Linked DNA regions of Cricetulus griseus. The protein of the gene in region 2 purifies or fractionates together with the protein of the main gene of each other region. This does not show direct contact. Links are inferred from orthologs where the notes say so. Each region holds a gene or a part of one and is shown on either strand. Other genes may lie near its edges.

Evidence for each region.
Region 1: the proteins of Pdgfrb (region 2) and Fyn purify together in Homo sapiens (pull-down; 3 studies listed by IntAct, with this or other methods). This does not show direct contact. The link is inferred for Cricetulus griseus from reciprocal best matches to the Homo sapiens genes PDGFRB and FYN.
Region 3: the proteins of Pdgfrb (region 2) and Rasa1 purify together in Homo sapiens (co-immunoprecipitation; 5 studies listed by BioGRID and IntAct, with this or other methods). This does not show direct contact. The link is inferred for Cricetulus griseus from reciprocal best matches to the Homo sapiens genes PDGFRB and RASA1.

Annotation. Positions count from the first base shown.
Region 1 is NC_048595.1:261,872,824-261,876,958, forward strand, and holds the start of Fyn (tyrosine-protein kinase Fyn), read left to right. Parts: upstream 1-1,314; 5' UTR 1,315-1,655; intron 1,656-4,135. UniProt on the Homo sapiens protein: Non-receptor tyrosine-protein kinase that plays a role in many biological processes including regulation of cell growth and survival, cell adhesion, integrin-mediated signaling, cytoskeletal remodeling, cell motility, immune response and axon guidance.
Region 2 is NC_048595.1:178,020,344-178,023,413, reverse strand, and holds the end of Pdgfrb (platelet-derived growth factor receptor beta), read left to right. Parts: intron 1-545; coding exon 546-717; 3' UTR 718-2,435; downstream 2,436-3,070. UniProt on the Homo sapiens protein: Tyrosine-protein kinase that acts as a cell-surface receptor for homodimeric PDGFB and PDGFD and for heterodimers formed by PDGFA and PDGFB, and plays an essential role in the regulation of embryonic development, cell proliferation, survival, differentiation, chemotaxis and migration.
Region 3 is NC_048595.1:305,271,590-305,275,859, reverse strand, and holds the start of Rasa1 (ras GTPase-activating protein 1), read left to right. Parts: upstream 1-1,455; coding exon 1,456-1,976; intron 1,977-4,270. UniProt on the Homo sapiens protein: Inhibitory regulator of the Ras-cyclic AMP pathway. Stimulates the GTPase of normal but not oncogenic Ras p21; this stimulation may be further increased in the presence of NCK1.

The DNA.
Region 1 (4,135 bases), about 84 Mb from region 2:
AATAGTAGCAACTTTCCGAAAATAAATAAATAAATAAATAAATAAATAAATAAATAAATAAATAAATAAAAGCACCTCAGAAAAGAGAAGAAAGTCAGCAAGAGTGACTGGTATTTTTAAACTATAGGGGAAAAGTAGTGGGCAGGAAAGATAACACAGACCTTGAGCTCCGAAGCCAAGGCTGCTTCACTTAAACGTACTTCTTAGAAAATTAGATTTGCTGAGGGGAGAGAGGGGAGTTTCTTGCCAAAATCATTAAGGGAAAAATGATTCTGGACACGTCTTAAAACAGAGATTTCGGTAAACAGGAATTACCTATAAAGAAAATCAGGAAGGCGAAGTGTTTCTTTTTATGAAGTTACATCCTGCCATAGAAAAGCTGGATCGGAAATAAAGACCGAAGCTTTCCCAACTGCACACCAACCCAGCCATTTATTTCATCAGGGAAATTCTGAGCAAAACACTGGGCAATGAGGCAATGAGTGAAAACAAGAAAACCAACAGAGGTTTGAATGCCCCAAGAAGTCAGACAACCAAAGGCTACTGTTAAGCATCTGGAGAAAGAGTGCAAACAATCTCTGCTGTGTGGTTTTGGGTTTCTTTGTTGCAGCCCCCTTGCATTTCAGCAATACTTTCTCCTGACTTTTTCTGGAAAAGAAAGATATATAGGTGCCCACAAAAGTGAGAGTAAATAGAATATGATTTTTTTGTTTGTTATTCGTTGCGCGTTTGCGGGGTCGTCTAGCTTTGCCGGCTTCTGCAATGGACTTCTCTACTTTGCTCCTCACTTCTGTGATTTGCCATCGCCATTCTTAACACCTTTCCATTTTATCCTCCCACTTTCAAAGGCGAGGCTCTGGCGAAATAGATTCCCGTGGCTGTAAGGCTGCAGTGGCAGGTGTCAGTCTCTACTAGCAAAGCAGAAAGCAGCTCGTAGCCTCCGCTCTCTCCGGTCCACCCCATTAACTCCCAACTCCACACGATCCTCAGACACACACCCCCTCCTCCTCCAACCTCGCATCCCGTCGCACACCCCGCGCGGCCCGCATGCCAGGATGCCCGCCACCACAGTAACGCTCAACCCACTCGGCGGCCCCACCCATGGCCGTCCCGCCTCCCACGCGCGCACCAATGGCTGCGGCCCACAGCTCCCAGAGGGCCCTTTGATAGGGCAGAGCGACCTGACTGTCTCCGACGAGTCCCGCCCCCTCTCGCACCCCTCGGGATCCGGAGCAACCGGAGCATCAGCGAGAGTAGCTGCGAGAAGCCGCGGCGGCGGCGGCGGCGCGTCGGTGCAGTTGCGCCATCTGTCAGGAGCGCAGCCGGCGGGGAGGGGGCTCCGCGGAGAGGAGAGGGGTCGCCGTGCGCCAGGCCTCCGAGACCCGCCCGCCTGCCGGCCGGGAGCACACCGAGGCCGCCTCGAGCCGGAGCGCTCCGAGGACTCCCCGGGCGCACACAAAGCCACCGCCCGCGCCAGCCAGGAAGGGACCGGGCTGCCGGGCCGGGGACACCGGCGCCGCCCCCTCGGCGCTTCGCGAGGCCCCCGAGCTCCCGGGCCCCGCCGCGGAGCCGCCGTAGCCGCCTGGGCCGCGCCGGAGGAGGGCGGGGAGAGGACCATGTGAATGTGCTCCGGAGCCGAGAGCCACGCCACGCAGGTAAGCGGCCGGGGATGCGCGGAGCCGCGGGATGCTGCGGATACGCCCGGCCCAGCGCCCCCGCATGGGCTGCCCCCGCTGCGGTCCCGCCGCGCAGCCTCCGGGGCGCTGAGCCCCGGGTTCCCCGCGACGCAGGACACTGATGCGGGGTGCCGTCCCCAGGCTACGCGGGCACCGGGGTACATTTCCTCGGCCGCCGGCGGGAGCCGGATGAAAAATAGGAATTGGCTTGGGGGCGAGGTTGGCCCTGCTCCTCCCCCGCCCTCCTTTCGCGGCCCCCCGCGGGGACCCGGGCTGTGTGTGTTGTTTTAATGTCAGGGATGATGTAATCACTTAATAATTGATGCCCCGTGCTGCTTTCCTCCCCACCCAACCCCTGCCCCACTCCTCCACCTCTCGGCCTCCTCCCTCGGCGGCCCTCGCCTTCCCTAGCGCATCCTCCTGCCTATTTCTGGAACCTCCCTTGCACTTCCCCCATCCTCCCCTTCACCCTTCCTGTGCCACCACCCACCCACCCTTCCCCTTTCCCCTGTGCCTGGCCTTGCCTCCTCTTCCTCTGTCCCCCACCCCTTCTGCTCTGTCAAGCTCGTTTCTCCTCCCTTCTCCACTCGCTGGATTTCCTCCCTACTTCCCTAGGTCGGTGGATGGTTTTGTTTGGTCTCCTCCAGGCTCTCTTATCTCTGAGGCCACAGGCAGAAGGGACTGGGCTAGAAAGAGGCCACCAAGCTTGGGCCCAGGAGGCGTTTGCTGGGACTCACTGAGAGGAAGGATAATAAAATCACCCATTTTGCCCCTCCTTCCTCCAATAAATCAGACTCGCTCTGTGTGTGTGTGTGTGTGTGTGTGTGTGTGTGTGTGTGTGTGTGTGTGTGTGTGTGTGTGACACAAAGAGCCCTTTCAGTTTATAGAGAAGAGACATAAAGTACCCAGGGTACCATGCTTCTTGTTTCTCATCCCGGGGCTTCCCTTTCTTTCTGATGAAGCACTTGATCTCTTAGTCCTTTCTACCACATTTACCAAAAAATGAAAGCTCCCAGATCCAGGGTGGCAGGTGCAGGCATTTTGCTGTATCCACCGACTGGTAACGCTGAGTGGCAACTGCAGTTTCTTCTATTTAAGGGGGTGGGAGATTATTACAGCTGTCTTAGGAGTTGCTGTACTTTCCAGGAAACCTCCTCTCCTCCCCCATTTCCCCCTCTTTCTATTTGAGGATAGGTACTGATACCTGTGACAGGATAAATGGATGGAGGATCAGAACAAAATTGTTTCTGAGTCAGAATCAAAACTGTTTAAGAAGACTGAGGCAGCCAGACCTTAAAGCCCTAGGCCACTTGGCTGAATGAAGTCTTTTGAAATGTGCTCTGGTCTTCCCAGCGGTGTTACTCTGCCCTTTTATTTAAGTAACCGGGCCTGTGGATACAACACTGGGCTGGCATTTGGAGGACCATTGGAGTCAGCACTTGTTGGCTTCAAGGTTGACTCTGAATGCCCACATCCTTCCCCTTACCACTAAAGCGACTACAGTACTTTCCATCCTCTGTGCTCTGTGTCTGTCCTCTGCCTCATGAGTACCAAGCATTCTGCAGATGAAGAAACTCAGATTTCAGAGGAAGTGGTTTCAACTCAAGCTTCAGGGGTAGTTAACGGGATGTCGGTGTCTGAATTCAGAACCTATGATGTTCCTCTTAAGATGGAGATGTAAATCTCAGGCTTGACATGTCAAGATTTAGGTTGGATCTGCTGACTCCCGATTGTGGTTCCTCCGCTGTTGAAAGTAACAAAACTGTCCCAAGTTTACTCTTTAGCCGTTTTAGAGTTGTGATATTCCTTGTGGAACTTTTATATTTAAAAAATGCAGAAGGATTAATCCTAAGTGTCCTCTGAAAACAGGGGCTGGTTTGTTGGGATACCAGACCCAGAAAGGAAGATCAGTACACAGTAAACTTGCACTGTGCTGCCCAAGTTAGAAGAACTTATTAATGATAAGTTAACATGGACAAATGCTCTCTACTTCCCCGGGTCTCCAACCCCATCTGATTTGCTTGAAGTCTTTACCCTCCAGGCCCAGCACAAATGCCATCTTTTCTTTCTGAAGCCTTCTCCATCTCCTCTGCTCCAGGCAAGCCACCAGGTCTCCAAATCTGTTTCCCAACATCATCATCAGATATTGTTTGTCTTCTGTCTGTTTCTACCACTAATTGGTCAGCACCTTGAGAAGAGACACTAATCAGGCTTGTCTCATTTTCTATCAAGTTTTACTTTAGTTGGTATTTGGTTGGTTGTTCATTGAGTGAGCAACAAATGTGAATTGGGTCAATGATACGTATCTGACATCTGTTTTAAGTAGACTCATGTTGGCAGCTATAATTGGCCTGAAAACAGACTGGTACAAAAACAAAAGATATTTATTCTTGCTCATGTGATACTCCCCAATAGGTGTTTCTGTTAAATAGGTGGCTTTCTTCTATGCTGTGTGTGAC
Region 2 (3,070 bases):
GAGCACTGCTTGTAGGAGGTGGAGGTGCTGCAAATTCAGTTTAGAACTCAGACAGGGGAAGAGGCACATGGTCTGCCTTGGGTTGTGGCAAGTCCATTGTGGGGTGGGCTCTAGGGGAGCCTTATTGCTTCCTAGTTGTCAGGCTGGAGTGGGGGCTCCCCCAAATCAAGATTCAACCCACGGAGGAGTGGCAGGAGACATGCTGGTTTCCATTTCTAGCCTGTCATTGTGAAACATGGACAGGGCTTGCCTCTGTGAGCCTCAGTTTCTCCATAGGAACTAGCAGTACATGCAGGCCTTCACAGGCCCTGAAGGCAAGTGGAGATGAGAAAGAAACTCAAGAGCCTGATGGCCCTGCTCTCAAGTTCTAGCTTCCATGCTCCCTTGCTGTGTGTTATGGAGCAATGACATAACTCTCTAAGCTGTGCTCGCCTGTGGTGCAGGCCTCTCAGTATGGAAAGTTGATACACAGAAAACCTTAGACAAGGCTGTTATTATCTTCCTGGGGTCTCCCCAGTTCCTTTCTGACTGTGTCCTTCCTCTAGCTCCACCTTGAATGAAGTCAACACCTCCTCAACCATCTCCTGCGACAGCCCCCTGGATCTCCAAGAAGAACCACAGGCAGAGCCTGAGGCAGAGCCTGAGGCAGAGCTGGAGCAGCCACAGTGCTCAGGTTGCCAGGGACCTCTGGCTGAAGCAGAGGACAGCTTCCTGTAGGGTCTGCCCCCACCCCACCCAACCTGAAACTCTCATTTGCCTCCTAGCACCCAACCCTCCTGGCCTAGCCTGGCCTGGCCTGGCCTGGCCTGGCCTTCCAGCTGCTGCACTGCCACCAGCTGTCCCCTTGAAGAAGGCCCCTGGTGTGTGGCACTCAAGGTCCAGGGACCAATTTAGCTTAGGAGGCAAGAGAACTGTGGGAACTGAGCCTCTGCTTCTGGAAAGCCATGAGACTCTGAGCCAGGGCTCCTCCAGGGGACTCCGTTTCCCCAGATGTAAGAGGAAGAGTTGGGCTTGGCCTGGACAGGTATGGAACCTAGATTCCTGGAGAGAGTCCTGGGTGTAAAGTGGTGTGTTCACGTCCTCCTGTGTAGCCAGTTGCCCCTCAGCTGGATCACTCCACTTTGATCTTCCCAAGAACTTGGCAAGAACCTGGTGCCTGACTCCTGGCCAAACAGAGGCCAGCCTTGGACAAGGCCATTTCATTAGAACCCTCCTCCCCTGGTGCCAGTCTTAGCTTTCCCAGGCCCGAGCTGGTCTGGGGCCAGCCATGCTTCATGAACACTCTTAGGGGAGAAGGCAGAGCTGAGTACAGGATGCTCTGGCCTGCAGCCCACAGGACACACCTGGCCACAAGAGGTACCCACGCCTTTCATCTTCATCACTCTCCGTTGACCTGCCCACCAGAGTCTGCAGGCCCATAGTCCATGCCTTCATATGCTAAACGCCTTCCTGAAGGCACCAGTAGGAGCCCTGACTCTGCACTGGACCTGCTATGAGACCTTGGAAGACTCCCTTGTTCTCTCTGGGTACCAGTTTTCTTTCCCCTTTGAAAAGTAAGCAAGCTGGACTCATTGACACTGTGTACCCTGTCAATACTACGAGTCTAGAGTGTTCCAGGAGCTTGGACTTATCCTGGCAGACTGGGGTCAAGTCCCTAAGCCACATTTCTGGCTGAACTCTGGGAAGATTCCAGATACCACATCTGGGGATTCAGGAACTGAGCCTCTCCTTCAGGTCCCCAAGTGCAATTGCACAGACCTTGACTTGGCATAACAGTCAGTGTCCCAGGAAAACCCCCTACAGCTGTCTTGAGGACACAGAAGGACCACGAGACCCTTTTCATACCATGATAAAATCTGGAGCCAGCAAGAGTGGCAGAGAAAGGCAAGCTAGGTCACCCCAGGCCACTGTCATCAGGAGTGTGGACATGATGAACCAGAGTGAAGGCAGATGTGTCCTGTGTAGGACAAGAAGCTTGAGGTGGGCATGAGACGCAGACGCCATGGGGATTGCCATCTCAATTGGCTGCTGTCCCTTGTCCTCAGGCAGCACTGTACAGGGATGTTTTTGTCACTGCCCAAATCCAGCAGTGGCTCTTTACCAACCCTGAACCAATGGGCATTGGAGGATCCTGGGGAGTGAGGAGTGGGCTGGAATAGGGAAGGAGAAGCCAGCCCCTCTGGGAGCTCTCCCATGCTGGCTTGCTGGCCGGCAGTTCCCTTGCCTGGGGCAGCAGAGGTTGCTGGAGGATGGGGAGAGCTGCTCACAACGGTACCAAAGATGTAATCACCTAGGTTTACAAGTACTCATAGGACTCACGATAACCCACTTAGACACCAGAAGTGCTATTTTATATGCTGTTAAGCTTCCTATCTGTACTTTTTTTAAAGGGAAAAATTTTAATATTAAACTTGGTGCTTCTCACTAAAAGACCATCTCTTAGGTTTGGGTCTGTGTGTCCAAGAATGTGGAGACAGTTTGTTCCAGACAGGTCCTTGCCTTCTGCTCCAACTCTCACATACCAAAAAAAAAAAAAAAAAAAAAAAAAAAAAGCCAGTTTCATTTCCTCCCATCCTGGGAAGTGGTGGGGTGACCACCTAGGCCTTGTGCTTGGGTTTCCAGATGTGAAGCGAGGCTTTTCTTGCTGTGGTATTTGGAAGGAGAGCATGGGCTTACAGAGATGGTCCATACCCCCATCCCCACCCCTGCCTGCCTTGCCATGTGCTCTGGCTTTAGCCGCTAAGCTGAGTCACCCTCCTTGCCCCACTTCTTGCTGCCTACAGCCAGACTTGAGCTGGGTTGGCTTGTGGAGAGGAGCCCACCAGAGTCCGAATCTTAGATCCTTGAGAGTCGTCACTGGGGATCCAGGTAGGAGCAGGGCAGACTGAATACCCAAGAGGGCCAGAGAGCAAGAGAAAGTAAGGAAGGAGAAAGGGTGGAGCAGAGAGGAAGAACAGAGGATGCAGTGTGATGGAGAGGAGCAACCTGAGGGGAGGAACCATGCTATGGCTGAGGACAGAGGGGTGCAGACCCAGGTAGCTTCAGAATCCCAGAGACTGTGGGGCCAGCA
Region 3 (4,270 bases), about 130 Mb from region 2:
GTGTGTGTGTGTGTGTGTGTGCGCGCGCGCGCGCGCGTGTGTGTATGAACTTATAGACTTATATACACATTCACATAAGGCGAACAAAATCTTTTCCTTGGCCATATTAAAGGTGACATTGATCTGAGTTTGGTAATTTTGTAAAGTTCAGATTTGGATATGTCTTGCAGACTCTTGAATACAAACTAGCACAAAACCACACTGACCTAGGCACTTTTCCTGTTCACACTTTATTGTCTGGCGTGCAAACGTGTGAGAGAGGCATTCGGAGCAGGGAACTTTAGTAGTAGAAATCTGGCTTTGCCTGTGTTTCCACCTTCACAGTTTTCCATGGCTCCTTTCATCAGTTTTTTTCTTGAGTCCCAGCTTCTAGGTTTGAATTATTTTACCGTGTGACAGTAGCACGGCGACTAACATTGTGCAACCAAAAGGAATAAACTGGGACTACTGCTTTGACCTTTGTTGCCGACTGCACCGGTGGTTGAGGACATTTTTCTTCAAGTTAGAAAGAAGGGAATGGACTTCCTGACATCAACCTTTCCTTCCCACCACCTCCTCGTCCCGCCGGTCCCTCGGGCGTGGACACGAGGGACTTTCCTTGTCGCCCCGTTAGCAAACAAAGCCGGGAGAGGCAGGCAGGCCCGCACAGAACCTTTGGCGTGGAGGGAGCGCGCCACGCGTCTCTCGCCGCTCAGCGAGAGAGCCTGCCACGCCCCCAGGCGCGCGCCCGCCCGCCCGCCCGCCGCTCCGCCGCCGCTCCGCCGCCGCTTCCTGCTGCCCGGGCTGCTTTTCCCTGGCCTCTCTCCAGACGCGCTCCCGGAAGGCGCCTGCGCAGAAGCCTCGGGCTCCTGCTCCCCTCCCTTCCTCCGCGGCCCGCCCTCCTTTCTCCCTCTCTCTCGGGTTTCGCTGCCGAGAGCGGACGGCAGGCAGCCGTCGAGTCGGGTTGTGCGCGCCCGCCCCCTTCCTCCGCCCCTCCCAGCGCCCGGGTCTCCAGCCGGCGGAGATGAGGCTGCGGCGGCCGCGGCTCCGGCAGCCCCGGCGGTGGCTGCGGTGGGGGCGGCCGGAACCCGGGCCTTGAGGCGCGGCGGCGGTGGCGGAGGAGGCAGCGCTGCCCTGGCCGCTGCAGCGGGCTTCCCTTCCTCTTTAGCGTAGCCAGGAAGTTTGGCGCCCTGTGCATGTGTGCGCGTGAGTGTGGGTGTGCGCGGCCAGCTCGGGTAGCGTTTCTGCAGGCACTGGGCTTTTTTGCCCGCGTCGCTTCCCGTAAGCCAGCAGCCGCCGAGCTTGGGCTGTGGCCGGAGGAGGGGGCGCGGCGGCGGGCGCTCTCCTTTTGTTGTTGTTTCCTCTGCCTGGAGAGCTGAAGGGGGACGCGCCTGGGTGGGGCGGCTCGCAGGCCGGGCCTGCTGGCCCCCGGGGCTCCCGGGCGGCCGGGGTAGCTAGAGGAGAGCGGGCTTCAACATGATGGCGGCCGAGGCCGGCAGTGAGGAAGGCGGCCCGGCCACCGCGGGGGCCGCAGGCGGTGCGGCCGCGGGCTCCAGCGCCTACCCGGCAGCGTGCCGGGTGAAGTTACCCGCGGCCCTGCCGGTGGCAGCCGCCCCCTGCCCCGGGCTGGCAGACGCCGACCTGGCTGCGGCCCTGGGTGGCGGAGCCGCGTTGGGGTCCGGGTTCCTGGCGACAGGGCCAGTGGCGGGTGTCCTGGGGGGCGCCGCGCTGACCAGCGGTGCTGCTGCTGCTGCTGCTGGCGTGGCGGGTGCTGCCGCCGCCGGACCTGCTGGGGATGTTCCTTTCGCCAAGGGGACTTTGTCGTTGTCTGCCGAGACCCTCGGGCCGGGTGGCGGATTCCCTCCTCTGCCGCCGCCTCCTCAGCTGCCCCCTTTGGGCTCCGGCCTGGGCACGGTGGATGAAGGTGACTCTCTGGATGGACCTGAATACGAGGAGGAAGAGGTGGCCATACCGCTGACCGCACCTCCCACTAACCAGTAAGTCCAAAATGCTGTTGAGGGATTGTGGAAGCTGGTTCCATGAAAGAAGTGGGCAAGAAAGCAAAACAGACCATGCTCCTGCGGCGGTAATTTGTTTGAAAAGTTTTGAAGTTTCACGTTCCTTATGTAGGGATTTAATGTGACCAGACATCTTCCCTACGGCACTGTCCCTGGCGTCCTCGTGTGTGTATTGCTTTTCTGGCAAGACAAAGTTTTTCAGATGGGAAGCATGGGAAACTGTATCCAGTGAGGACCGGATATGGTTCTGCCCCTTCCTAATTGAGATAGTGTCCGGGATTCAGCAGAACTTGGCACTGTAAAGGCAGCCACTGTCTATGGTACCTCCCATGCCCCTGCTGAATCTAGATTTACAGTGAGAACCATGAGTACAGGTGTTTACATGGGTATTACATTAATGTAAGTTGGAAATTCATTGGTCAGAATGTTTTCTTTTTGCTGCAGTTGCAAATCCCTACTTAATGTTTACTGGGAGAGTTGTGATTCAGAAAAGACTAGATCACTTTAGAGAAGCAGCCGAGAATGGAAGGAAGTTCTGTGAATTACAGGTGTGATTAAGGGCTCACACACTGAACACTAACTTGTTCCTTAATGTTGTTAGTATTCATGTAATACTTCTATACTGAGACAGTACAAAACATTAAAAAATAAAATATTGGTCGTGGCTGATGCTGTATTGTTTGGAAATTAATTTTGGTAGTTTATTGTGAATTAATCAGGGAAAATGGCTTTCCCTTTTAATTTAGAGTTGTCTCTTTAATGTGTTCTTTTCCTAAGTGAAATAGGTATGTCTTTGTAAATGTAGGTTGATTTTGATGAGGGAAAATTGTTGAGGTGGGAAGTGGTAATAATAGACGAAGCATGTTTTATAGAGCCTTCGAATCAGTCGTAATTGACCTTTAGAATTTCAACACCATTGGTAATTGTAGGAAAAAAGATTTGGTTCATATATTGACACTTTCTGGACACTTGAGAAGTTTTCTTTGGGAGGGTCAGCTTCTTAAGAGGCTTAAGAAATGACCTAAAGACAATCAGGGAAGCATTTTGTAATAGTAATCCATTCTCATTTAAGCTACATTTACTGCTCTTTTGAATGCATGTTGTGATTTAGAAATGCATTGGTCAGAAAGCTTTGTGTTTGTTGACATTTTCAGATTTCAGTTTAGGTCTGTTTTGATACTTCCCAGCTATGGTGAAAGGGAGTTATGTTCCTTTTATGTCATTCATCACAAAGTGTAACCTCTCTTTTCTTATTTTAATCTAATTTATGTCTGTGTATTGCAGTCTATCTTAGGAATATTCTGTGTTAAAAAAATTCCGGCATTGTGTATATACCTTTTTTGCCAAAATCAGTTATGCTTTTATTATAATAAAATGCAGTATAATGAGAGAATGTGGTCTTACGCCATTTTTGTAATTGAATTTGATTTAGGCATATTTACAATCTTGTTTTCTTAAAGGCATTTGAAACTTTAGTTATTTTTATTTTATGAGTGTTTGTCTGCATGTGTGTATGTGCATTGTGACAGTGTCCAGTGACAGAGGCCAGAAGAGGGCATCAGATTTCCTGGAACTGGAGTTACAGGTGGTTGAGAGCTGTTCTGTGGGTGATGGGAACCAAACACTGCTCCTCTGAAAGATCAGCAAGTGCTTTTAACTGCTGAGCCATCTCTCCATCCCAGTGTATTATTATTAAATTATTTCCAGCAGACTCATTTATTTTATTTTATTCTTTAAGAGAGGCTGTCATTCTAGTGTAGGATGGCTTGTAACTCACCGTATAACCCAAGCCACCCTTGATCGGTGATGATCCAGTTCAGCCTCCCAAGTGCTGGGATAGTAGGCTTGAGCCATCATATTCCCTTTGTAGGTTATAATATGCTTTAAAAGAGGAATTTAAACTTGACAGCAAAATGGAATGGAAAAATACAGATTATTTTCACACTAAATTTTTAAGATTAAGCATGATTATTTGGAGAAAATTTTATTTGTGAGAAATCTATTAGAAGTAATTTTATTATTTTTAAATATATTTAAAAATGAACATAAAATTTGACTTAGAGTAGTTCATATATATATATATATATATGTTTTTTTTTTTTTTTTTTTTGACAGGGTTTCTCTGTGTAACAGCTCTGGCTGTCCTGGAATTAGCTCTGTAGACCAGGCTGGAACAGAACTCACAGAGATCTGCCTGCCTCTACCTCCCCAGTGCTGGGATTAAAGGCATGTGTGCCACCACCACGGCCACCAGCACCCAGCTAAGTTGTTCA